Nothobranchius furzeri: one gene and its partners. The protein of the gene in region 7 interacts with the protein of the main gene of each other region in a pairwise test. Links are inferred from orthologs where the notes say so. Each region holds a gene or a part of one and is shown on either strand. Other genes may lie near its edges.

What was found.
Region 1: the proteins of agtrap (region 7) and pdhx interact in binary tests that used the Homo sapiens proteins (3 or more experiments, as listed by UniProt). The two-hybrid records come from large-scale screens. The link is inferred for Nothobranchius furzeri from reciprocal best matches to the Homo sapiens genes AGTRAP and PDHX.
Region 2: the proteins of agtrap (region 7) and ptpn9a interact in binary tests that used the Homo sapiens proteins (3 or more experiments, as listed by UniProt). The two-hybrid records come from large-scale screens. The link is inferred for Nothobranchius furzeri from reciprocal best matches to the Homo sapiens genes AGTRAP and PTPN9.
Region 3: the proteins of agtrap (region 7) and ecpas interact in binary tests that used the Homo sapiens proteins (3 or more experiments, as listed by UniProt). The two-hybrid records come from large-scale screens. The link is inferred for Nothobranchius furzeri from reciprocal best matches to the Homo sapiens genes AGTRAP and ECPAS.
Region 4: the proteins of agtrap (region 7) and hscb interact in binary tests that used the Homo sapiens proteins (3 or more experiments, as listed by UniProt). The two-hybrid records come from large-scale screens. The link is inferred for Nothobranchius furzeri from reciprocal best matches to the Homo sapiens genes AGTRAP and HSCB.
Region 5: the proteins of agtrap (region 7) and mrm1 interact in binary tests that used the Homo sapiens proteins (3 or more experiments, as listed by UniProt). The two-hybrid records come from large-scale screens. The link is inferred for Nothobranchius furzeri from reciprocal best matches to the Homo sapiens genes AGTRAP and MRM1.
Region 6: the proteins of agtrap (region 7) and syt16 interact in binary tests that used the Homo sapiens proteins (3 or more experiments, as listed by UniProt). The link is inferred for Nothobranchius furzeri from reciprocal best matches to the Homo sapiens genes AGTRAP and SYT16.

The regions. Positions count from the first base shown.
Region 1 is NC_091744.1:75,526,061-75,530,057, reverse strand, and holds the start of pdhx (pyruvate dehydrogenase protein X component, mitochondrial), read right to left. Parts: upstream 2,801-3,997; 5' UTR 2,754-2,800; coding exon 2,618-2,753; intron 1,761-2,617; coding exon 1,677-1,760; intron 1-1,676.
Region 2 is NC_091754.1:45,568,528-45,572,504, forward strand, and holds the start of ptpn9a (tyrosine-protein phosphatase non-receptor type 9), read right to left. Parts: upstream 2,801-3,977; 5' UTR 1,994-2,800; coding exon 1,961-1,993; intron 1-1,960. UniProt on the Homo sapiens protein: Protein-tyrosine phosphatase that could participate in the transfer of hydrophobic ligands or in functions of the Golgi apparatus.
Region 3 is NC_091747.1:76,192,011-76,195,217, reverse strand, and holds the end of ecpas (proteasome adapter and scaffold protein ECM29), read left to right. Parts: intron 1-857; coding exon 858-963; intron 964-1,048; coding exon 1,049-1,137; intron 1,138-1,210; coding exon 1,211-1,282; intron 1,283-1,994; coding exon 1,995-2,134; 3' UTR 2,135-2,707; downstream 2,708-3,207. UniProt on the Homo sapiens protein: Adapter/scaffolding protein that binds to the 26S proteasome, motor proteins and other compartment specific proteins. May couple the proteasome to different compartments including endosome, endoplasmic reticulum and centrosome.
Region 4 is NC_091750.1:33,252,191-33,256,404, reverse strand, and holds the start of hscb (iron-sulfur cluster co-chaperone protein HscB), read right to left. Parts: upstream 2,801-4,214; 5' UTR 2,796-2,800; coding exon 2,434-2,795; intron 2,347-2,433; coding exon 2,250-2,346; intron 1-2,249.
Region 5 is NC_091756.1:50,275,901-50,280,196, reverse strand, and holds the start of mrm1 (rRNA methyltransferase 1, mitochondrial), read right to left. Parts: upstream 2,801-4,296; 5' UTR 2,558-2,800; coding exon 1,418-2,557; 3' UTR 1-1,417. UniProt on the Homo sapiens protein: S-adenosyl-L-methionine-dependent 2'-O-ribose methyltransferase that catalyzes the formation of 2'-O-methylguanosine at position 1145 (Gm1145) in the 16S mitochondrial large subunit ribosomal RNA (mtLSU rRNA), a universally conserved modification in the peptidyl transferase domain of the mtLSU rRNA.
Region 6 is NC_091758.1:9,697,614-9,701,113, reverse strand, and holds part of syt16 (synaptotagmin-16), read left to right. Parts: intron 1-3,062; coding exon 3,063-3,500. UniProt on the Homo sapiens protein: May be involved in the trafficking and exocytosis of secretory vesicles in non-neuronal tissues. Is Ca(2+)-independent.
Region 7 is NC_091743.1:75,225,095-75,227,878, reverse strand, and holds part of agtrap (type-1 angiotensin II receptor-associated protein), read right to left. Parts: intron 1,964-2,784; coding exon 1,768-1,963; intron 1-1,767. UniProt on the Homo sapiens protein: Appears to be a negative regulator of type-1 angiotensin II receptor-mediated signaling by regulating receptor internalization as well as mechanism of receptor desensitization such as phosphorylation.

The DNA of each region.
Region 1 (3,997 bases), on a different chromosome or scaffold from region 7:
GAGAAATTCAGTTAAGTCCCAGTGATGCACTTCATAGGATTCTAGCTATGATAAACCATTAATTTACTTTAAATGCTTGTTTCTGTAGCAAATAGGATTAGCTTTCTGCAGATGTTCATCCATCATCTCCTCAGAACAAAACAGGATGAAGACAATCAGCTGATTATACAACTTTTTTGTGCAGCAAAAGCTGTGAATGGGCCGTGGCCAGATAATATATACTGATGGCTTGCCAGGCTCGCTATCACTGTGTTAAGTTTACCATTTCATAAATATGTTATTACCCTTATTCAAATTAAATCTGTTGTGTATGTTAAATAAACTTGCACAACCTTACATTATAGTTATAGTTGGAAATACAAGAAGCATGTATGCTGCCGGGAAGAAGGCGGAAACATGTGGCAGTGCCTGGCCCAGGCTCAGGGGACTCAGGTAGACCTTGGCGCATTCAACGGCATTTGGCAGGGGGAATTTTCAGCCTCATCCCAAGTGCCGGTGCCTTCTTCCTATTTTAAACTGCACTTAGACACTGAGGGCTGTGGGTGCAAGTGGAGTGGTGTGGTGGCATCAGCTGGCGTAGGCCAGACGATGCCTGCACTGCCTGCTCACCACAGCCATTGAATACACCTCATCAACACGCACTAACACTATATTGGAGCAGGTGGAGGGTGACTAGGGGCCTTAGCACACCTCTGTTGTCGCTTGGCTTCCCGGGGAGGCAGTAAGTATGGACTTGGGCATGTTCAACACATGTCTTAAGGCTGTGGTTGGCACTAAATGCACTGTGATTTATTATCGTGTGATTGTTCAGTAAAACAATGTTCATTTTATATTTCCTCATCAGGTTGACACAGTGATAGCTTGCTCCTGTTGTGTTGTTGCGTGTCCCTTTTCTGCAGGTCTAGAAGCAGATCCCTGTTCATCATTGATTGTTTATTCCCCCTCCCCCTTCCTTGTCTCTTCCTTTCTCTTTCACCTATGTCTCTGTGTCTGGTCAGAATTACAAAGCATTCAAAAACAATAACAATAAAGTTTTAAGTATCAGGCGTGACATTAAAAGCAGATGCTTTGATGCTCCACCTGAGAGTAAATCTGTACGGCTTGTTACCAGCATTCAGACATCAATTATGTGTGCTTTACAGCCAGACAGGACCGGGGGTGGGTACAGGAAGGAAATGTTTTGAAGCATCCATTCTCATGATTTTCACATACACACAATTGTACAAATGGCAGAAACACATGGTAACACAGCTTGTAGCCATTGAGTTCCTCATGCTGCTTCTAGATAAGAGAACCACCTGGATGATTATCAGCAATTGTGATTTCTTGAGTTAATTAGCCAACAAGGCCCTCAGGTGATCTACAACTCAAGTCTCTGTCTTACAAAGCAATGAAATGTCATTGAGGGATTGATTTGTCCTGATGTTGGTCTGTAATTGTGGGAGGATAAGAAAAGTGGAGCTTCGGATTCAGTTTTGTCCAAATAGAAGCTGTTTGAGTCATGACTATAACATATTTATGTATAATTTACTAAGGTATAAAGCTGGTAAGCGAGAGAAATGACATTGATGTAGTCAAGTTTTCTGTAAAATCTAATGCAATTTTCAGAATTTTAAAATACTTATTACAAAAATACCCTAATTAAGAAACCCTTGATTAAACTTGTATCACTTTACCTTCTTTTTTCAGCCATTTGACTATGCTTCCCTCCTCCATGGTGGGAGAGAGAGCTGGCATTTGTACTTTGAGTGGGCTGACACCTAGAGGATGGAAGGAAGAAAACACAAAATGTATATTCAAAGACAAGAGTAATAAAATAAAAAATGAATAAATATAAAGAACCGTTTTTCTCAGTGCCAGTTATTGCAAACCCGTGATCGTAGTTGATGGCTGTCAAACAAGTTAACTAGTTACGAGACTAAAAAGGATAGTAGGTTTTCTAATATCCGTAACCCATAGAGGCCACACTGTCTAACATGGAGGGGGAGGGGAGTACTGTTAATACTTATCCATGGTACAAAATAAAATACAGAACAGGTTTTAAAAATACTGACAGTGAAATTGTTCCTAAGTGGTTTTCAGTTAAATAAAAAGGTCAGAAGTCTCTTCTGTTTCTAGTTAAAGGGGTGTATGCTGTCATTTGCTGGACACTTAAAGCTTTAGTTAATTTTCATGAAGATTGTGATTTTTTATCTGACATTTAAGAGTAAATATTAATTTTTTGTGGTTATTTTTGGTAAGCTGCAAGTCTTTTGCATGTCTATTTTGTCTTCGAGTCAGCATGTTGTCTAAATCATCCTTAATTGAATATCTAATATACACTTTCCTAAAAATTTACAGGAGATAAAATTCTTGGCCACAATATCATGGCCTCTTTTTATTTTTTAGTAGATATTTCAATTTTTGCGAAGCTTGGTTTGAATTGTTTTAGAAGTAACTCAACTCCTTCGTAGATATTAAACCAGATGAGCCAATCCGGAATCGTTTTGTAAAAAACGACGAGACTTAATGTCACACACGTAAATCCATCACAATTAAACATAACTGGGTGTAGCAAACGTCAGGTCAAAGGAGAGCTGTTCTCCCTTGATTAGCCGGTTTTAAAGCCAACACTCACCAAACATCCATGGCGACTGAAATACGTATCTCACGCGATCCTGCGAAGGGTGTCGAAGCCAAAAACTTTTGTTAAAATTAAGTAATTTGAGACCAGAAAAAATTCCTTGACGACCCAAACGCAAGGAGACCGCCATGTCTTTCTCCTCCGTCGTGAGAGGTGCCCTCACAAGTGCCTGTCCATAAAGCAGCGGAAAGCCAGGATGGAGCTTGCTTTTGTTTTCCAAATCTATCATTGTGAAATTATACAGTATAGAAAAGGTTCAAAGGCATAAAAAACGTTAGCACATTCCTTTTGGCAAGGCAAAAATAATATAAATAGCATTGTATTTGTAATTAAAAAGGCAAAAAACTACCTACATGTTTCGGGCTTTATTATTTGAACAAAAAACTTTATTGATCCAACACATTTGACAGAACAGTGAATAGAAAATTGATGGAAATTGGTGTCATTCAAAGAATTAATAAGTAAATATAAATAAAAATAAAGGAGCAAGTATTTTCAAATGGATCTGAGGACACAATATTTTTCTAAAGCAAAGCAAGGCAGCCTAAATAATATTTTACAAATAGAGGGGATTCGATTTGTGAACAGAACAGAATAGAATAGAATATCCCTTTATTCTATATAGTAGGGACATGTTTGTATCACAACAGCAACCACATTCACAATAAGAACAAATAAATAAATAAGAAATAGAAGGCTGTACTCTAAACAAAAACATGTTAAACACTATTGCAAGAAATATTTTAAAGAAGAATCAATGGAATTTACAAAATGTTTGAATTAAAAAATAAAATATTGTGAGAGAACAAGCAGATTATTGGAGTGATCAGTAGAGAAATGTGAAGATAGAACTACAACAGAACTGTGCAAATAACCAAGCAGCAGGGAGGCAAAAAGTTTTAGTGGGTTAGTTGGAAGCAGCACTGGTTGCAAATCCTAACTGCTGCTGGGCCTGGGAGGAAAAACCCATGACAACGTTCCTTCATGCCCATAGGATGCAGCAATCTGTCACAGAAGGAGCTCTTCTGATCCAAAACAGCATCATGCATGGGGTGGGAGACTATCGTCCAACAGTGATGCTATTTTTGCTAGAGTCCTTCTGTCTCCCATTATATGCACTGGATCAAGGGTACATCCCAAGACAGAGCTGCCCTTCTTAATGAGCTTATCTAATATCTCTCTGAGCCACATAAGACGTAAAATATAAGAATGTAAGAATTCCTTAATGTCATTATATACACATAAGTTGGCAGCTCTCAGCTTGCAGACACACATTTGTAGAATATAAAAGCAACAGTGGGCAAATCACAACAATATTGGTCAGTGCAAACACTGGTAAAAAAAAAAAATAGGGACCCTTAGTCATGCCCATCC
Region 2 (3,977 bases), on a different chromosome or scaffold from region 7:
GACGTCTGGACCAGCCGTGCTACAGAGGCGTACCTTGGTCCTGCTATCTCTTGAGTTAAGATTGGAAGATGAAGCGCTTCAACCTTGACACCAAGACTCTGGTGAACACACATCAGTTTGGTTTTAGGTGCCTACTTCCACCTGACTGTAGCATTTGTATTAACTGGTTACAAAGTTATTAAAGTTGTTGGTAAGCTATCATCTTGTCTTTATTAGTAGATGGATCACACTTCAGACTAGAAGCTAATGATGGTATATTAGAGCATCAACAAGCTAAACCTTTATTAATGACACGATTAGTCGACTACTAAAATAGCCGGTTGTGGCAGCTCTAGGTTGGTTCACACATTGGAGAACACCAGGCTAACCCACTGAGTTCCTTAATTATAATGCGTGGAAAGTGAGGGGGACGTGCATTCATACTAGACAGCCAGCTGGATAAGTTAGTTGAGTTTAGCTGTGAAATCTGCAGTTTTTTCATCATTTATTTTAGCAAACTAACCCTAAGCCTATTTTATGAAACTTTATTTTGAGTAAAGTTTTATTTGTAAAATGTTTTTCTTTCTATTGGAATCACAAAATAAAGTTTATTAGTTCCAGTTGCATTGCACTAAAGTCTTACTTTGTTTTTGAAGGTCTTAAAAAGTCTTGAACAGGTATTAAATGAAGTTGATGAGTGATACAAAGCTCCAACACCAACTAGTGCGCCAGTGGAAGTCCCGCTCTGACACCCAAACACAATCGTCTTGGTGATGAGCGCTTTCAGCACCTTCTTTTAATGTGATTTAATAAATACTTCAGTGAGATGTACTACTCTGTACCACACCAAATAGCTGCTAAAGTGTGAAAACATTTCTTTCACGTCTGCCCCTGCCTCCCTGACTGTGTCTCTCTCCTGCCCTTGATTAGTCCTTATTGTTTTCATCTGCCCCTTGTTTACCTGCCCATGTGTTCCTCATTTGCCCTGTGTATTTATATCTCCCTCCTAGTATCAGTCTTTGTCAGATCATTGTGTTTGTTGTCAGCGTTGTTTTTGTCCTGTCGTTCCCGCTCTGTTATTAAAACCATTTTTACTTTATCCGAACCTGCATTTTTGCCTCCAGGTCAGTTCCTCTACACACGGTCCGCCAACATCCACACCCACAAAGTGACAATTTCTGGTAAACATTTGTGGCATTCCGATTTATTCATTTGTCTTGAATGCTTGATTATTTAGTTGTTTTCTACTGAGTGTGACCACTCTCAGGACATTTATACCTTTACTTGAGGTTATACCTTTAACTTGGTTATTCAAATGTATGTAAGGCACTTGTTGTGCCTGTGTTCTGTTGTTAAACATTTTCTGCTGACTTGAATAAAACTGTGAGAAAAATCATGTATTTCATCCTTGTATAAAATGTAAAATGATCAGCTATAGTATTTCTGGATTCTGTTACATACTTAAATAATTTTGCAGAAAGTAACTGAAAGTGGTGTAACTCAGCTAGATTAATGAGACGGTAGTATTTATTACAAACATATTACATTGTTATACTATAATCAGTAATATGTATGACATATATTAAGTTAGTCCAACACCGATTATACTGATGAAATTAAGTTTGTTTTGTCTGGTTAAAACGGGTCAAATGGGATTCATGTGTTCTTTTCTGACAGAACAAGAACTTCTGTGGGTTGACCAGAACCAGGACCAGCATCAGAAACAGGCCCAGAACCAGCATCAGAACCAGAACCAGGCCCATAGTGACCCTGCATTAGCATCAGCGGTGTGTTTCAACACAGAAGCCGACTGTGGTGCAACGACCAGGCCAATAACGTTCCTGAAATCGATGCGATGTTTCCGCTTTGCGCTCCGGAACATTTGGCAACAATGCCACAAAAGCGCACTGCTGTGGCGCACGCACGCAGGGTGGTAAAAGAAACGGAAATAGAGAGCAGGAGCCTCCGCGCGCGGGCCTACCTGTTCCTCCTCCGCTGACAAAGTCGCTGCCATGATGATTCGGAAGTATCCCTCGTTTAAAGGAAATGAATTCTAGAAGTTGTCCCTGTGTCTCACAGCTGGAGACATGAGAGACGCTGCGTGCCCTCCTGCGATCCACACCGGCCTGTTAGCTTGAGCCCAGCGTCCAAGAGAGAGAGAGAGAGAGAGATCAGTAGCTCATTCACCGAACCCGCAGCTGTCCGGACTCCATGCAAGGAATTGCAAGTTTTTTTTTTTTAGCTCTGACTCTGACTAGCTTGTCTTTATGCAGCCTGAGGCGCGCGCGCGCGCACTCCCTCTCTCTCTCTCTCACACACACACGAGCATGAACAAAGAGACTCTGTTGCCTTTCAATCTGCGCTCTGCGGAGCCCCCTGCTGGTCAGAACCAGAACCAGTAGGGTTTATATCCATATGTGTGAGAATCCCAACATTAGGAAACTGCTACGGTACTTGGACTTGGTGCAAGAAAAAAAAATGATAAGCAAAATTAGAATTAAGAAATAAACATCATGAAATAATAATAATATAGGGAGGCAATAATTAGAGAAGCAGCTACTATATACAAGACAGTGTAGTGTAGGTTCTGGTTAGAGCGGGTCACTTCAGGTGCAGACGGGTCTACGTTTGTCATTCATCAGTCCAACTGCGGAGGGGAAGAATCTGCTTGTCCAAAATGCTGCAGCTAGAGTTCTGATGAGAATTACAAAGAGAGATCATATCTCTCCTGTCTTGGCTTCCCTACATTGGCTACCTGTTAAATTCAGAATAGATTTTAAGACCCTCCTTCTCACATGTAAAGCTCTTAATAATCAAGCTCCATCATACATCAGTGATCTGATTGTTCCATACGTTCCTAACCGAGCACTTCGCTCTCAGACTGCAGGTTTACTGGTGGTTCCCAGAATATCTAAAAAATAGGACAGGAGGCAGATCTTTTGGTTATCAGGCTCCTCTCTTGTGGAACCAGCTCCCAGCTTTAGTCCGTGAGGCATACACCTTGTCTACTTTTAAGGCTAGGCTTAAAACATTTGTATTTGATATGGCCTTTGGTTAAAATCTGATGTTAGCCTAGATCTGGACAAGCGGGGGAGTAGAGGAAGGTGGAGTGTACAGTCGATAAAGACGGCTCTCCCTTGCCCTGCCTCCAACAAGCCTCCATCTAAAAGGCTAGGTTATCCAGAGTTATCTCTGTAGTTATGCTGCTATAGGCTTAGACTGCTGGAGGATACACTGACCACTTTCCACGCTAGACTACTTTCTTCTAAAATCTGCTCAGAACTGTATTATTTCCTACTATTTTAGCTGTTAACTTTATTTTTTCTCTAAGTGTTTTTCTCCCCAGAAGAAGCTACAGTGATGTTCTGCTGAGCTGTGGTGGCCTCATGGAGGGGGCCATCGGCTAGCACACTGCTGCTAACCACTTAAGTATTCTTCCTCTCCTGATAATAACTTTTTACTCTCTTTGACATTGAATGTGCTACTACTAGTTTACCTGTTTAATTATAGATTCACTGGGATAAATACAATAAAGTTTATCTCTCACCAAATAGAATATTTACTAAGAAATCACCATGTAACTATAGACACATTACTTGGTATATATGTTTTGTGTGTGGATGTGTGTGGGTGTGTCTGCTCTGTCTTCTTGTGGAGGTTCCTCCAGCCATTTCTCAGTGTTAGTATTATTTAAATATTTTTTCCACACGCTGGTTTATTATTTCATTTTGTTGCAATATTTTAAGATGTTTACTAATGGGTGCACACATTTAGTTATTTATCTTATACATAGTTTATTTGATCATTAAATATTCTCCGTTTATCTGCGGGCAGCAGAGGACGTTGTCGCCCTCTACTGCCCGCTCTCCCCTCTCCGACGATGCAGTCCCATGCGTGGTCCAGCGTGTAAACTCCGTCGTCCCTGTTCATGGTCCCACATCCACGTCTCCTTATCTCGATTGCTTCCTTGATCCATCTTTTGTGTTTTTGTTGTTCGG
Region 3 (3,207 bases), on a different chromosome or scaffold from region 7:
TGTACGATACTGGTGTAAGCGGAACCGTACGCAGTCAGTTGGTTGTGAAAGGGGGCTATTTTTTTAGATGAGCACATTAGCTGGTTAAGCTAGTGGGAGCTTGCACCATGGGGAAGTGGAAGTTTAATGGTAGCTGGATGGCTAATCCCACGTTCGCGACGTGGTTAGCACCGGTTCCAGGCAATAGCTGGAAATTATCGCTTAAATTTAATTTTTAAAATAGCTTAAATTTGGTCAAAGTGGCCTTAAAAAAAGGTCTTAAAAAGTCTTAAATTTGGCTCCCTTAAATCTGCAGCTACCCTGGTCTACACCTTCGCCATTGCGCCCTAAAAAACATAAAGAGAGCCGAGGATAACTAGCGGCAGACACAGAGCAGCTTGAAGAATACCTCGTGAAAAAACTCAAAATGTGAACGTTTAATTCCCCCGTGACTGGAGGACTGAAAAGATGCACAGCAGGCGTTTTATTTGTGGACGGAAATGACAGGAAACGTGGGTTTAGAGGTGGCGAGCGCATGAAGAGGTGGAGAAGAATGAGAGACAAATTTGTCTGTGTTAAAAAGTCTCTTAAATACAAAAAAACTCAATATAAACACACTATCTTGGACCAGATACACGACAGGATACCACAGAACAGCGCTACGCCCTCTGCTGTCCTGCTGGGGAATTGCTTTGCAACGTTCACGAGAGCAAAACGTCTCCGTCCGTGCGTGTCTCTCCGTTTTGGAGCTGACGGAGAAGCATGAATCAGGCTTTACTTTGAGAGAAAGGCTTTTACCGTCTCTTGGGCTGAAAATGTAAAAATGGCTCTTATCTGTGTGTGCGTGTGTGTGTGTGTGTGTGTGTGTGTGTCTGCAGCACATTTCCAATCAGAGGTGTGCGGTCTGATGTCTGGAAAGCTCAGGCTGAGCACTTGGAAAGTGCAGCTTGCTGTCCTGCAGGCCATGAAGCCGTACTTTCAGGAGTAAGACGCTCAAAAGCAAACATGTCGTCTCTAATCCCAGCTCTTCCGTCATTCATCCGGTAAAAACAAACATTCTTCTCTGTAGCTTGTTGCTGTTGGAGAAGGCTGGTGAAGACTCAAGTGCACTATCAGAGATCCTGACGGAGACTTGTGCTGCTCTCACATATCCTTTAGGTGAGGGCCCGATTCCACTCTAATACACTAAATTATGATTTTCATCACTTGAGTTTGTTTGTTTTCTCCGCAGAAAATAAAAGTTACTCCTCTGTTCGGACAGAGGCCTTGTCTGTTGTGGATCTGATTGTGAAGAGAATCGGAGGTAGGTGATGCAGTCTCCTTGACATGATGACATTCATGTTGTGTGATTTGTTTTGTTTCTTGCTAAGAGATAAAAAAAAAAAGTTTGTCTCACAAAAAATACACCCAAGACAATACAATAATTTACATTTATGGGATCAGGTTTTTTACTTCTACAGATTTATTAATAATATGTATTTTTATTTTTATAATTCAAAATAAAAGGGAAAATTTTCAGTTATTTTTTTCCAAGTGTGCCTGTATGCAGTCGTTATAAATTAGTGTTGCGTAAGGATGTAGAATTAGAAACACTGTTAAACTGCATAACTGAGCTGAACCATCAGGGGCGACGGTGGCACAGGAGTTAAGTGCTCGCCCCGTAATCGGAAGGTTGCAGGTTCGAGCCCCGCTCAGTCTGTCGCTGTCGTTGTGTCCTTGGGCAAGACACTTAACCCACGTTGCCTGCCGTGGTGGTCGGAGGGACCGGTGGCGCTCTGCGTCCCAGAGCAGCTGTGGCTACATCGTAGCTCATCCCCACCAGTGTGTGAATGTGTGAATGAGTGATTGTGTTGTAAAGCGCCTTGGGGGGTTTCAAGAACTCTAGAGGGCGCTATATCAAATACAAGCCATTTACCATTTACCATATCAGGGTCCCTCCAGCTTCTATGTGTCTGATGTATTAAGTCCATGGATTTTTATATCTGAGTGTGTTGCTGATTCTCGTGTGTGTTCAGAGAGCGAGCAGTGGGAGTGTATGTCTGTGAAGAGCCGGGAGCAGCTGCAGCGCTCCCTGTCGACTCTGCAGTCGGACGCACGGCCCGCCCTGAGGGATAAAGCCCAGGAGCTGCGCAGACGCATCCAGAGCCAACCCTGAGGAAGATGGGACAACATAAAGGAGCAACACACACACACACACACACACCCTCTGTCTTATAAGCATGATGCCATACGTGGAACTACTGTTACTGATGGAAAAGGAGGTACAACCCAAGAAGACCGGGGCCTGATGTCCCACACACCTGTGTTGTGTTGATGAAAGGGATTTAATAATTCACACGTCTGTCATCAAGCTGCGCCGCGGACTCCCAACAGGAAACCAGACTAAACTCGCTCCTCTGGGCAAAGCCAACGCGGTGAGCTGTTAACTTCTACGTTGTTCACTCAGATGGACTGTGTGTGAGCTGATAAACTGCTTTATAAGTGTTGGGTGTGTGGACACTTTATAGCTAATAGCCCCAAAATGGGGATTTTTACTACTGTTGTGGGTTTGCCTTCCTAATAACTGTCCAAACAGCAGCGGGTTGTTTATCGCAGCCAACAGAAGGTGACGATGCTTTAGGGTATCACAGCGTGTCCTGAAATCTAGAGAGAAACCTGCTGATAACTTCAAAATGACGCTGTAGCTGTTTGAATTTGTCTTTCATGAAATAAAACGTAATCATTTGGACCGGTTATTGATTTCTGCTTTGTAACAGGTTTCTGATGACTGTTGCATCTGAGGTGAAATGTTGAGAACTTATGAGCTCCTTTAGAGTTTAGGAAAGCCGTGTTCAGCTTTAGTCATGGCTAAACGCGATCATTATTGACTCACTTCAGCAGAATCTGTCCCAACATGAAGGAGGCTCAAAGATCTCCAGAACATCATGTCACTGCAGGACTCGTCTGGGTGTGGGTGAGGTCATGGAGCAACTAGAGGGGCATCGGGACCACCAACGCCCATCTAACATTTACCAAAACACGATGATCCACCGGACTTTTAGGCAAATCTTTTGTAGGCCGGTGTGAAGAGAAGGGAACTCTCCGGAAGTTGTGACTCGCGTTCCATCTAGAGCAGGGGTGTCAAACTCATTTTAGCTCAGGGGCCACATTGAGGGAAATCTAGTCACAAGTGGGCCGGACCGGTAAATTAAAAACAACTTCAGATTGTTTTCTTTGTTTTAATACAAT
Region 4 (4,214 bases), on a different chromosome or scaffold from region 7:
TTTTCTGCAAGTTTTCATTTAAATGCTTATATAGTAAGGTATAATATAGAATTATAGATTAATATAGTAAGGTATAATATAGAATTATAGATTAATATAGTAAGGTATAATATATAATTATAGATTGATATAGTAAGGTATAATATATAGATTAATATAGTAAGGTATAATATATAATTATAGATTGATATAGTAAGGTATAATATATAGATTAATATAGTAAGGTATAATATAGAATTATAGATTAATATAGTAAGGTATAATATATAATTATAGATTGATATAGTAAGGTATAATATATAGATTAATATAGTAAGGTATAATATAGAATTATAGATTAATATAGTAAGGTATAATATAGAATTATAGATTAATATAGTAAGGTATAATATATAATTATAGATTAATATGTCCCAGGGAAGAAAAATAAGTGAGATCGAAGCTTATTTTGGGCAGCACGAGTAACTAAAACCTAAAAGACACTTTATACCACGCTATACTGTAAATGAGCTGAATCTGAGACTTTTTTTTGCGGTCTTTGATGTTGGGATTTTATAGGAAATCCCACAGCTGCCTTCATTCAGCAATTACTGAAGGGCGGTGGACGGAGTCTTCCTTTGTTGTTGCTGAATATTTGCGCATGAGCAATACAGCAACAAGAATAATTCCTAACGTTATGCAACTGCTCCCATTACAACATCCTGGAGGTTTGTTCCTACAGCTTGTAGGCCCATCGACTAAAAAAGATAAAACACAATCAAACTACCTCTGCGCAGACCTTAATGTGCCTAGAAGCTCCACTGACGCTGGATGCATTCACACAAATCAGGATCCTCTCTGTTCAGATCTACAGCTGAGAAAATGATATGAATGACTTATCTAACGAGTGTGCTTGTTCTTTGGTGCATAATGTGTTTCTGCGTGATGCGGACAACTGGAAATCTGTCCAGTTTCACATTATGTCTGCTTGATGTTATGCAGGTATTAACAGTTAAAACCTCTTTCTTCCATGTTGTCTCCTAAATGTGGATTACCTATAATATTCTCCATGCCTCCTTTTGTTTTTACACAACAAAAGTTCAAACTTAAAGCTGAAACCTTGAAAAAAAGGCCAAAAGTGGGAATTTCAGTTATTGCATTTTTCACGCATCTTTTTTATCTTCATACTCGGCTTTAACTGTCTAAATCATTACAATTACACAAATTATGAATTTTATTGTGCACGTTTCCTTTGTACAAAAGGACAATGAAGCCTTGAATCTCATGCTCATGAACCTGATGCTGTGTAAACGGGTAATGGATATGAGAACATTATAAAACGTTAAAGGTTTGCTGAACTGAAGGTGTGATCTTTGGGCTCTTTTTGCAGCCGTGTTCACCAAGTAAATCAAAGGTCTTCCTTTGTTCCTTCTCTTTTAAAAGGCTCAGTCATAATGAAATACCTTAAAACATCTGAAGCTTTGAAAAATACTTGAGTTTTACCCAATATTAGTAAACCATCTATAAGCCTCAGATGTCGTTTTCAGACCTGCTTCTTTTCATTTTTTTATTGGGTCGCAAAGCGGGTTCAGAAAATGGGTGGATGGATGGATCCTTTGGGAGTGGTTTTACATCGAGCAAAGAACAGAATGTACAGTAGAAAATAAATGGGTGTTTGTTGTTGTTGTTTGGTTTATGATGACTCTTTTGATGTTGCTCTGTATTGTCTAATACAGTCAACGTAACCTTGGAAACGCCTTATCAGGAAAAATCCACTTTTTGGAGCTTTTGACCGTGATACTGTTACACAAACAAACCCGTTTTGGGTTGTGTTAATGCATTTTCCTGTTTCAGCTGCACATGAATGGAAACTAATCATCAGGCCCTGCTCCTCTCCCGGAAGATAGTCTCTGGTATGAAACCTAATTCAGCTGGTCAGCACAGGATATGTGGCTTAGGCGACCGTCACGTAGCAGACTTGGTAGTCCAGTTGTTACGAGTGCTGGGCTGAATACCTTAACCACTGGACCACCATAACCAGTACAGCAACTGAATCACTGCTGTAGGCACATCTTGTCAGAGTGGGCTTGGGCAGTTTCACCAAAACAAACCGCTTTATTTACACTGCCCACTTTGCTCTCAAAGGTTTAAAACAGCATCATATGATATACATGCTTTGTCTGCAGCTCCACAGTCCAACTAATCGATAACAGAGCCTGGTTTGACGCGTGAACCATTTCACCAAACTGGTCATCATTTCCCCTGCCTACCACAGACTTCTGGCTGAAGTTGTCGGGATGAAGAGATCGCTGAAGCTGCAAGTATCTTGTCTGCAGCTTGTGGGTGTCCAGTGTGAAAGTGTAGTCACTGCAAAAAGGGGCAGCACACAATGAAATGAAATTGAATGACAGCTCATTTAGAAATGGCTGATTTGAAGTGATGTAAGACACTAACCAGTCCATTATTTTGAAGTAGGTGGTTCCTTCCTCGGGGGGTTGGATTGCCTGGCATGACTTGCAGAAGAATGTGGACGTTTTCTCTAGAAGTCGCTTACAGTTCCAGCAGTGCGGTTTAATCTGACTTGTGCAGCAACTTTTGGATGAAAAGACCGTTTTAGTGTAATAAAATTCTACTTTTCCAAATTCTCTGAAGTTCACGCCGTTGTGCCAAGGAGGGTTGTTGCTGTGGAAGCTGGCTGCCATGCTGGGACTTAACGTGGCAGCGTTTGGAAGAGACGCTCCATGCTTCCTCGTCCAGGGCGGGTGTCGCGCAGCCCGAGGTGAACATATAATCCGCAGAGAGCCAAGTGGAAACATGCCTAACAGCAAAGTCCTAATCAAAACATTCACACCTCTGTGCCTATAACAGCAGAGGAAGAATGGGTCTTCTTCTACGTTTCTTAAACGCGACAGTGCCACCGCGCGGCTTGATGACGTATGCGTCTCGGAGGTGCTGGGAAACAAAACATTAGCTTAACCAGCATCGGTAAAAACTATTTACGAGTATTAAACTTTTAAGTGATATTGAATTCGAATTCAGCAAATAATCCAAAGTAAGTCAACGACACCAGCTTTGTTGTTTGTTTGGGATGTAAGAGCGCCGCAGCGTTAGCTAGCATACAAACTTCCGACGGCAGAGATACGCGTCAGTCAACATGTAGCTGAGTAGCTTCACAGCTCGTTAGCTAACGTGTTTCTAACAGTAACAGTATAATGTTTACTGTCTGTCCCGCCCTGCAGGTGAATAGGGTTTATGTTAGAAAATAAAAGTCGAGGCTTCTTGTAGACAGGGTATGTTTGCCTAATAAAATGTCACTTAGCTCTAACTTTCTGCTGTGGGTTTAGCCCGAATAGTTGCTGCTGTCAGTGATGTGCAGTAGGCGTCGTTATATTAAAGCCGGTGCCTATCTCCAGCGGTCAACGGGCTATCAGGCGGGGTACACCCTGGACGAGAGCCAGTCCATCGCAGGGCAACACAGAGACACACAGGACAAACAACCATGCACACACACACACACACACACACACACCTAAGGACAATATAGACAGACCAATCAACCTAACAGTCATGTTTTTGGACTGTGGGAGGAAGCCAGAGTACCCGGAGAGAACCCACGCACGCACAGGGAGAACATGCAAACTCCATGCAGAAAGATCCCAGGCCGGGAAGCGAACCCAGAACCTTCTTGCTGCAAGGCAACAGCTCTAGCCACTGCGCAGCCCTGCTGCACAATCCATCCATCTATATCACTGCTGTGAGCATGATCTTAGGTACGTACAAGTTTCAAGGAACTGGAATCATTTTAAGTTTGGCTTTTGGCAAAATATCAAACTCCTGAACAACTCATGACCTTAAAAGTTTCTTAGCAAAGTACAATCTTTGATGTGTGTGTGTGTGTGTGTGTGTGTGTGTGTGTGTGTGTGTGTGTGTGTGTGTGTGTGTGTGTGTGTGTGTGGTTTAGAGTGGTAGAAGTACAAAAGGTGACGGCAGAGTATTCCAGAGAGACACTAGTTGGAGACAGAAGCATCCGTAAGGTAAACAGGATCTCTTCCTGAAGGTCGAGGGAGGTGCTTCTCAAGGACCCAGCAGACAATACTCTGGTTATTATTAAAGGAAATGGCTAAGAATAGAGAGCAGGGGAGCAAGGTAGCTCTTCTGGCGCTTGCGTTGTTTGAGTTAAACAAGCCAAAACGGAATATCATCTTTAGAAGAGTGGCTTCTTTAGCTTGCTGGTT
Region 5 (4,296 bases), on a different chromosome or scaffold from region 7:
CCTCAAATATTGAGATGCTCCTCTATTTCCTCACTATTTTCCACAACCAGTAATTTAGTTCTTGACACTTTAGCAGCTGCTGGTCTCATGTCCCTGGCAAATGTTCAGATATTTAGCATTTTATTAGGCTATAATAAAAACTGCATTACAGAGGATTTTTTGTATTGTGCTGGCTGGGGAAATATGTACATTTTTCTGGTTGTTTTTTTTTCTCACAGGACTCACATCAAAACTTCAGCACTGTTTGTAGGATCCACACATCACCAGAGCTGTTAGGTGAAATAGACTAAATTCTTGCTTTGCAAAGTTTATTTAGCAAATATATGTATTTAGTCTGGCTTGCCAGGCTTGTTAGGTACAGATATAATGAAAAATGCAGCTGAATAGAATAATGGCAAACCAATATTTAGCAGAATTTCTTCACGTGCAGATGAAATCTGACCACTTTGGAAAAACACTGTAACCAGAGATCAGTAATAATGTATTTATTTTAAATGTACGGTGCGGAAACTGGATTACCACACTTTACCGTTTCAACCTGAACCTGAGGATTGAATCTCTTCAAGACGTTGTCTCCCAAAACCTCAGTAAGTTTTGAATAAGAAAAAATGTAGTGGAAATGATTAAAAATCCAACTTAGGTTTTTAATTGTTGAACTGCTTATTGAGATTTTGAATTTTTGACACACTAGATGGATCAGTGTCCTGAGTTGTTTTTCTCCAATATACATTTGAATATTTAATTTAAAAAAAACATATGAGGCAATAATATAACCACCAACAATTACTTTTATGATCACTCTAAAATGAATATTTACATTATTAAAGTTAACAAATCTTGAGAGAAATTACATTTGTTTTTTTTAAACCTGTACATTTAATAATTTATCCTATAAACAGTGCTACTAAAGTGATGTAATGTGCTGAATTTTCTATTAGCCACTACTACAGTACTGATAAAATGTTCTAAAGTTTAATACACTTCAGTGACAGTTTGGTGTTTCTGATCATTTCAACAGTCCAGACTCAACATTATTCTGAATATAAGAAAAATAACAAATGCCAAATCGATTATAAAACAAGAACAAACATTTAGTAAAGCTAAAAGCGTTAAACTCAAATATTTAGATTTATATATTTATAATTACAATTTATTTCCAGAAAGATAAAACAAACATAAATGCATGTTTTTCTACACCTACTATTCAACATCTGAGTGAAAACTAAACTGGAATAAAACAAAGCCTTTGAAAACATATCCGAGACAATTATTTTACACTCTCAGTAGTTTATTTTAAATTAAAATCCTTCATAGAAATCAACTACCAAGATGTTTTGCTCATAACGATACAATAAAGTTCATTATATCAGTTTAAACTGATCTTTATGCTCAGATGTAGTTTTAGGAGTCTTGATGATTAATGCTGCGTTTTTGAGCTCCCTGTGAACAGAAGGGAGTGCAGCAGAATGCCTGTAGCCACAGAAACGTTCAGTGACTCGATGCCGGGGGACAAGTCCCTTCCAGCTGGGATGGTGAGAAGGGTTTGGCACAGAGACAGCAGTTTGGGCGACAGACCCTCGCTCTCGCCTCCCATCAGCAACACTGTCGGAGCACTCATTTGAAAGTCTGAACACGGGACGACAGGAATGTGAGACACTTCTGTGCCTGCTCCCACTGTACCGACCACCTGCCAGCCCTGCACCACCTTCAGCCTCAGCATTTCCTCCAGGTTTTCATGCGCGTACACCCCCATCACTTCCATCACCCCTGAGCTGGCCTTGCTGACCACCGGAGACAGGGGACAACTGTGGCGAAGACTGCTGATGACCTTGTCCACACCAAGGAAATAGGCAGAGCGTAAGATGGCACCAAGGTTCATTGGGTCCTGGATTCTCTCAAGGACCAGCCAAAGAGGGGCGCTGGTGTCTCGCTGCTTAGCTTCTGAGTCCAAGGCTATGTAGCTGAGAGGACTTACGCACAGACAGACTCCTTGGTGAACTCCTCCAGAGGACATCCTGTCCAGATCTTTCTTGCTAACCCTATTGATCTGTACTCCTCGTTGGTTTGCCTCCTCACATACCTTTAAGACAGAAGCTCTCTGAGAAGTCTCACCATCTTTTACAAACAGTCTGTAGGCATGTCTTCTACGCTGAGTGAGAGCCAAGAAACAGGGGGCTACACCAAAAATCACCTCCTGGGCTTTGGAGTCAAGTGCTGGCTTCTGTATCACCAGCCTCCCACTGTCTGCAGGGAAATCTTCTAGACACAGTTTCCTGAGTTCAGATGACACTCTGGAGACATCTGTCCTCACTTGATTCCGTTTCTGAAACAGGGGGTTCTCAGTCTTTACAAATTTATTCTGGGATGACTTCCCACGATCCTGCAACCCCCCAGATGCAGCAGGCCGTTGTTGATCACTGGATGTTTTAGGCCCTCTGAAGTGTCTCCTTACAGCTGGGTTCCTGTCCTCTGTCCTCAGGAGACAAGCTGTGACATGGTAAGAAGCTGCCAGAGAGAAAGACTCCAGTGTGTGCAGTTTTCTGCTCCAAAGAAGCATAGTGTTGAGATGACTGAGAGCCGAACTGTCTTGACGAACCGTACTTTAAAAATTGTAGAAACAATCAATCCAGTCCCAGTGAAAATTGCCTGAACAGCCCATGGATCTGCAGATCAACCAGGTGAGCGCAATCCTAATCATCAACATTCAAAAAGCAGAAATACGTTTGCTGCTTTCACGTTATAACAGCACCATTGATCAGCACGTGTACAATGAGATCAGTCAAGCTACAGATTTGCAGACCGGATGCCAGGAAGTTTCCCTTTAAATTAAAAGTCTTGACTGTGGATTTTCATGTCAATACCGAAAACAAAAAATTGCAAACACACTCTCACACTCACACAAGCCATAAATAGATAGATGGATAGATGGATAGATGGATAGATGGATAGATAGATAGATAGATAGATAGATAGATAGATAGATAGATAGATAGATAGATAGATAGATAGATAGATGGATGGATGGATGGATGGATGGATGGATGGATGGATGGAACTGAGGACTTAAAGGAGTCTAAATGATACATGCAAGTTGTTTACATAGGCTGAGCAAGCATGTAAATTAAAGAGCCTAGTAAAACATTTGATAAAAATTCTGACAACTGAACTGACCATGAACTAAGTATCAGAGTCAGCTGAATTAAGCACAAACAAGTGATTTTTGTTTCACAAGCTCACGGTGACTATGTAGACTTTGTGGGCAAGGGCACAGAATCTAAAATATTTTTTCAATCTTTCATTATTTATTTATTTATTTATTTATTTATTTTTACATGATCAATATGTTTAGTAATAGTTTTTACTGTTGAAACCACATTTTCAAAATATTTCTGTGTCAAAGGTCGGTTGCTGACGATCCTCGATGAGTGTCTTATTTTGAAACTTTTCGGCTCCGTTGTACTTGTCGTTTCTTTGGAACTTGACGCACGTGACGCAGTGGCAAAATGTTTCTCGGGGCGTACGCGGCTGCGTCATTTCCCGGAAAAGCAACCGTCTCAACACGGAAGTGTTGGAAAGAAAACAAATAACCGTTTGTTTTATTTTTGGACTCGAGTAAAAGTCGTTGAATTCTCCCTGAGCGCCGTTGAATTCCCAGACTCCTGTGTCGTCGCTGACGAGTGAAGTTAACGGTGAGTGTGATACTGTTCGGTACCACTGGGTTCGGTCTGAGCTTTCAGGTCGGGACAGGAGAACCGAACCGAACAGTGATGAAACCGAACCTTGGGCCTCTAGCCACACAACTGACTGCTGAGTAATTTGAGTCAGGAAAACAGAGTAGTTAGTGTCAGAACTGCTGTTACCGGAAGTATGTTAAATGTGACTTTAAAGTGTTGAGTAAAAGTTTAGCTGGAAAGCCCCTCCGTGTTCAATGCTACTACCTTCACTGGGCTGACTGCATTTCTAAACCAAGGTCAGTTACTCACATTTGTCTGCTGGGACTTCAACTGGCGATCATTTCCTATCTGAGCCTTGTTGATTTATAACTACCGAGTAAATAAATAATACTACTCTTTTATAAATCACACCTGGGTTGGTGACACACCTTATGTGACAGAAACTGTCAGAGACTTGTTATAAACACATTTACGTTTGTGTTAAATTAGGGTTTTTTTGTCTCTATCTTCACTTTATGCCGCAATTTCGCACAAACTTAAATTACCCAACCAGTTAATGCAAAGATATTTTGTTTATTGGGATAGGGGAACAGAGTTTTCATGTCAGCCTAAAGAAGTGAAT
Region 6 (3,500 bases), on a different chromosome or scaffold from region 7:
TATAGCATCTAATGCTGGTGAGGCAGTGGCTCTGCTGCTTATTAAACGAGGTTCTTTTTGCTTCGGACATGAAGGTGTTTCCAGTTACCTTCATGTCCGAAACAAAAAGAACCTTGTTTAACATTTAAAAAGAGGACCTAATGAACATTGTAAAGGGTTCTGCTGCTGTTGGACTTAGCAGCAGCATTTGATACCGTTGACCATCAGATATTGTTGAACCACTTGGAACACTGGGTGGGGCTCTCTGGTTCTGCGTTGTGGAAAGGACTTCCTCTGTTTTCCTTGGTTCTTATTCATCAAGAGACGCTGAACTTAGGTGGGGTGTTCCCCAGGGCTCGGTTTTGGGACCCCTGCTGTTTTTGCTCTCTCTCTCTCTCACCACTGGGACTGTTGTTTAAGAAACATAAAATTAGCTTCCATCTCTATGATGATGACTGCCAGCTTTATTTGCCAAATCAGCAAGAGGCCAGTGGCAGCATACGGCAGCTGGTGAATTGTTTACAGGACGTTACTCAATGGATGGGGTCCAATTTCTTGGCTCTGAAGGAGGGCAAAACTGAAATAATAGCTTTTACCCCGAATAACCACCAGCCCTTTTTATCGCTGCTCCTCTATGAGAAGTCTGTTTTACAGATTTGGGTGTTAAAGTAGATTCTACTCTAACATTTGGTAGTCAGGTGAATTCTGTTGTTCGTTTGTGTTTTTACCAGTTTAGGCGCTTTTCTAAGATTACATCGATCCTCTGTTGCTTTGGACTGGTTACCAGTGAAATGTTGTATTCTCTTGGTCTTTGTTTTTAACGCTTTGTCAGGAACTGCCCCACCATATTTAGCCTCGCTGCTGACCCGTTATGTCCCTTCAAGATGGCTACGTTTGGGTCAGAGTGACCTCCCAGTGGTACCGCGGTCAAAACGAAAGTCCAGAGGTGATCTTGTCTTTTCAGTTCTGGGTCCTCGGCTTTGGAACCAACTGCCACTAGAAACAAGACGGTCCACATCGCTGCCCACTTTTAAAGCTAGGCTGAAGGTGCATCTTAGATCTGTTTCTTAGTTTTAATACTCGTGTATTAATGTTTGATCATCATTGTTGTTTTGCTGTTTTTAACTCGTGTCTTCGATTGTTTTATTTCTGTATTTTATTATATAGCAGATTGATTGATTGATTGATTGATTGATTGATTGATTGATTGATTGATTGTGCTTTAGTTGTTTTTACGTTATCTTCACCACCGTGGGCCCCTTGACTGGGGTAAGGAAGGGGCTTTACAAATAAACTTGAACCTGAAGATGAGCTAATTTATGATTTTTTTAATGCAGAATGTTTGAGGCCGGTGAGCAATTTTAACTCTTGGCCGCCATCTTGAAAAATTAGGACTATTCTGTTGTTTACTTATTCATTTTCAGTCATTTTCTTACGTGCTTGCACACACACACAAACACACACACACACACACACACACACAAAGAAAATACTGCAATGCTCCACATCCATACTTGGCAGATTCGTGACCAGAGTCAGCTGTGATTGTATTTCTGTCTGTAATCTGCTCAGGTTCATGCAGGATTCACTGAAACAGCAGAACTCTCCTCTCGTGGCGGTGAACAAACAAAAGCTCGGGAACTATGATCGGTGTGTGTGTGTAAACAAAGACTCTGTCAGGATGAGACTCTTGATGATGCCTCTGTGTTTCCATTGTGTCGCTGGAGAATGTAACACCCTTTCTGTCACCAAATCACACTTTTATGGCAGAAGAAGCAACGACCACCTTGATCACTATATCCACCAAGGAAGGACTTGAAATTCCCTGTGTGGGAACCTTTTATATTCCCAAAGATGCTAAAGGAGACATAAATCTGCACACTGCACTTCCTCCAGCTGAGTACCAGTGCTCAACAGCTAACGTTCCATCATTGTTGTTTTCATCATAGCTACAGTTTAAATGTTGCAACAAGTTCCTGTACAGGTGTCAACTAGACAAAATACATACTGGTGGTTGGCTAAGAGCAGGAGTCGGTGTCTGTCCATCAGGACTATTGGACAGACACTGATCAAAGAATGGTAGGTAAACTTCCTCCCAGAGGAACTCCTCCAACCATCCAACAACAGTTTGGTGACCAACAATGGACACCCTCCCTCCTTCCCCAGACCTTAACCCTACTGAGAACTTGTGACTAATCGTCCAGAGGCAGGAGGACAAACACAAACCCAACACTAATGTCAGGACCTGGACTAGAGGCCGACTGACAGCAGCTTAAAGAGCAAGTCACCCCCAAATCAACTGTTTTTTGCTGATAAGCTAAATAAACGAGTGTGTAATCGTGCTGCAGACACGTGTCGTCAATAATTTGGCACTTCAGTGCATCTTAATTAAAATTTAAATATTCTGCCTAAAACTGGCAGTGTTGTGCCGTTGTCAGGTAAAAACTGCACTGTATTTGAATTTAAATCTGCCACCGCTATTGGCTAAGAGGTATGCTATGATGTAAACTGGTACATTATGATGTCACAATGCTGTTTTTGTGTGTGTGTGTGTGTGTATTTGTTAGCGGCTCCGCCCTCTCGGTCTGCCTGGCAACAGCATTTGTTGCATTTTTCAAACATGAAGTGGGAGTGGAGTTAGACTCTGGTAGGGGGTGACTTGCTCTTTAAGTTGAACTACAGAAGGACCACCTCTGCAGATATTGAGTCTTTGCATGAACTTAATCTTCCCTAAAAGTGTTTGGATCTTATGAAATGTTTGCGGTTCTACTTCAGTAACCATGGAAACATCTGACAAAAGGATGTGTCCTTCTCTAAACGTTTAGCCACATTCCTGATGCAGACGGATTAGAGCCTTTGCACAGCATTCCGGCTCTACAGTATGTGTTCTGGGAAGGAAAACTGCAGTACAAGTGGGCATTTGTTCACTTTAACTAAAATAGAAAATTGTGCTTTAATCTGTCTAATGTGTGGCACCTTTATGTTGATTTTTAAATGACATTTTAAAACGTGTTTGCTCATATTGTGTTCCGGGAATCATGACGGCTGACGGTTTAACATCTGTGTAAAACTTCTGTTCTCAGCTAACGCCATCTCCTTGTGATGACGCTGCCTCTCAGCCAGTCTGCTCCTCCCCTCGAACCCCCATCTCTACATGTGGAGACCTGGTCCTCTCTCTGGAGTACCGGCCCGAATCGGAGAGGCTGCTGGTCACCATCATCACGGCCCGTGACATTCCTGACAAGGCTCGCAGTGGGATGGACTCTTGGCAGGTGCACATGGTCCTGCTGCCCTCCAAGAAGCAACGCCACAGGACGTCTGTGCAGAAAGGCTCACTGCCGCAGTTCAACGAGACGTTCCGCTTCTCCCGTTTAGAGCCGTCTGACCTGCAGCTGTCCGCCATCCGGTTCAGGCTGTACGCCGTGGGGGGGAGGATGTCCCGTGAGAGAATGATGGGGGAGAAGGTCCTTCGCCTAGGGGGGCTTGACACAGACAGGAGCACAATGGAGGTAACGCTGGTT
Region 7 (2,784 bases):
CTACTCCGAGCCCCTCCGGGATGACTGACCAATGAATGCCGGACCATGTCTAATGCTGCCGCTCGTCGTTTTCACAGATAATAATGTGGTTGAAGCAGAGTCAGCCCTGTTAGTTTAGCAGCAAATCATTTTAAAGGCTTTCTGAAAACAAGAACATTGAGTTAACTTGAGTTAAAAGCGTCATGGACAGGTTTTACTAACCTTTGTCTTGACAAGAAAATTTCAGCTAGATTCTAAATTTCAGTCCTGTAGAAGAGGAGGGAGGGGAGGCGATTATTTAGTGTGTATTGGAGCTAAGTGATTAGCGTAGCATTCAATCTCACGCTATCAGACTGTTTTTGCTTGTTGCAGCATTAGCAAGGGTGTGCTAGCATTGGAAGAGCCAGATTCCTGCACGTTTTAGAGGTTTCCCTGCTGAACACCACATATGTTTAAACTGAGTGATTAGCTGCTGCAACCAGATGAAGGCTGAATTCAGCAGTTAGAATTAGGTTTGTCTGAGCAGGAGCATATCAAAGACATTACTTAGTGCTAGCGTTCACACTACAGAGCTTTGTGAGGCATGGCTCTCAGCCGTTCAAATTTCTAAATCTTTTCCTTCTCACCACGATGACGTCATGCTATGCACCCCAGCTTTCATAATCCCGATTTGTTTAGTGATAGTCGACTTGAACTAGCTGTTGCTTGTACCTGACTGTGCTCAGCAGTGCAACGCCAGCAAAGCAATCTAGCTGCAATTAAAACCCAAACGCTGTCTGAGAGGATCATTAGCTGCTTTCATCTGACATAACTCAGTCTAATGGGTGTTCCTGCTGTGCAAAGTAAACCATAAAGAAACTAGATTCATCAATATTCAATTATCCTCTGTGCAGTCGACAAATGGGTTTCATCAAGGTTTCGCATCTCACCACTAACATCCTTTTGTCTTCTAGCGCTTTTTTTTTCTTTCATTTTGATCCATTCTTTGTGAAGTTGATATCCAAATGTGCTCATCACATTAATTCAATGACATCAGGTAACAAATCAAAGAATGATCATTTTAAGCCTCCAGGTCATTAGAATTTCAAAGATCTGCGATGTTAGATCCATAAGTGGATGTCTGCAACATAAATGAGATCCTGCAGCCTCCGATCAGTCTGACGAATCTACACAATGACCTAAATCTTTGTTTGTGGGTTCTGTGTGGCCACCTCTGCTTTCTGCACATCCATCTCGAGCTATTTTTGTTCCTGCATCAAAGCGGGTCATTCATTTTACAGCCTGCATGCTTCTTTAACACGTTTCTCCATGCACTCGGATCGCATGGTCAGAGTGACTCACACACACATTATGAGGAACTTGTGGGGTTTCTGTAAACAGTCGAGCTGCAGCTTGAATATTTTGATTAAGCAAAAAAAATAAATAAATCACGTGACTAACCAATGAGATGTGGAATCATCTGCTGCTGGTTTGGAGCAGATGATTCTCCAGTTTGAGTAAAACAACATGAGGGGGATCTAAACTGGACACAGGGAGAACAATGCTCCTTTAATTCAGAGATTATATTTACAGAAATAATCTCACTGGTTCTTGGGGTAAACCAAATCAAATCATGTATTTGATTGAAGAATCACATATTTTAATGAAGTATTTTGTTTGTTCAAATGTAATTAGAAGCCTTGAGTTGATGATGTGGGCCTGCCTTCTTAAAGTCTTGCATGTTATCCATCCTTTATGTTTAAAAACATCATGGAAAACGGTGAGTTTGATGCTTTCAGCGCCACTTACCAAAGTTGATGTTGTAATCTCCTCCTCGCTCTCGGTACATTTGGTATACAAAGAAACAGGAAGCAGGTTTGAGCAGCAGGTTGAGGATTGCCATTCCTCCACTGAAGCGTCTTTCTGCCGAAAAGTCATTCAGAGGATAATAGATCCCAAAATGCACGATGTCCGTCAATATTGTCACCAGCATCCCCATTAGAAACTAGAGGGACAGCAAGAAAACACATGTAAATGACAGGTGTGTGTGTGTGTGTGTGTGTGTGTGTGTGTGTGTGTGTGTGTGCATGTGTGCGAGCGTGTGTGTTCTCTGTCTTCTCGATCCCCAGTGAGTCGTGGAGAATGGCTGCTTATACTGAGCCAGGATCCTCTGGAGGTTTCTTCCTGTTAAAAGGGAGTTTTCCTCTCCACTGTCGCTATATGCTTGCTTAGTATGAGGATTGCTGTAAAGTCACTGGCCGTGTTCGAGTTGAGCTGCGCCTCGCCTGGAAAACAGACGAGAGCAGACGGAAGCAGCAGGGGGAGTGGCTGAAAGCCGGCGTTTAAGTCGGACACAATTTCCTGTATGTGTAGCTCGGGGGTGACGATGGCTGAAGATATCGCGTGAGCGTTCACACTTGTTTAATTTTCAATTTTAATTCTGGTGCCTGTTAGCAGCTGAAACACATCCTCACGTGCTTGTGGATATCATATATTGTATATGAAGTCATGACTGTAATAATAAGTGAAGGTTATCAGCTGTAGCTTCAGTGTGCTCATAGGAAACGTGACAAAAGAAAACAAAACACATTTCTCTTTATGGCCTATATAGTTGTCATCATCAACGTAACATGATTTACAGAATACATGTGACCAACTAACATTTCATATTCTACCACCGGATGTTTGGATCAAAATATGAACCAGTCAGATCTTAGATCAGGTGAGAGCCAGGTGTTTCCCGTCATCCCCTAGGTTTTGCAGCCGGTGGAGAGCAACTGCAGCGCCTTGCTCCAAAATCTGCGACTGCCTTGATCTCACGATGTT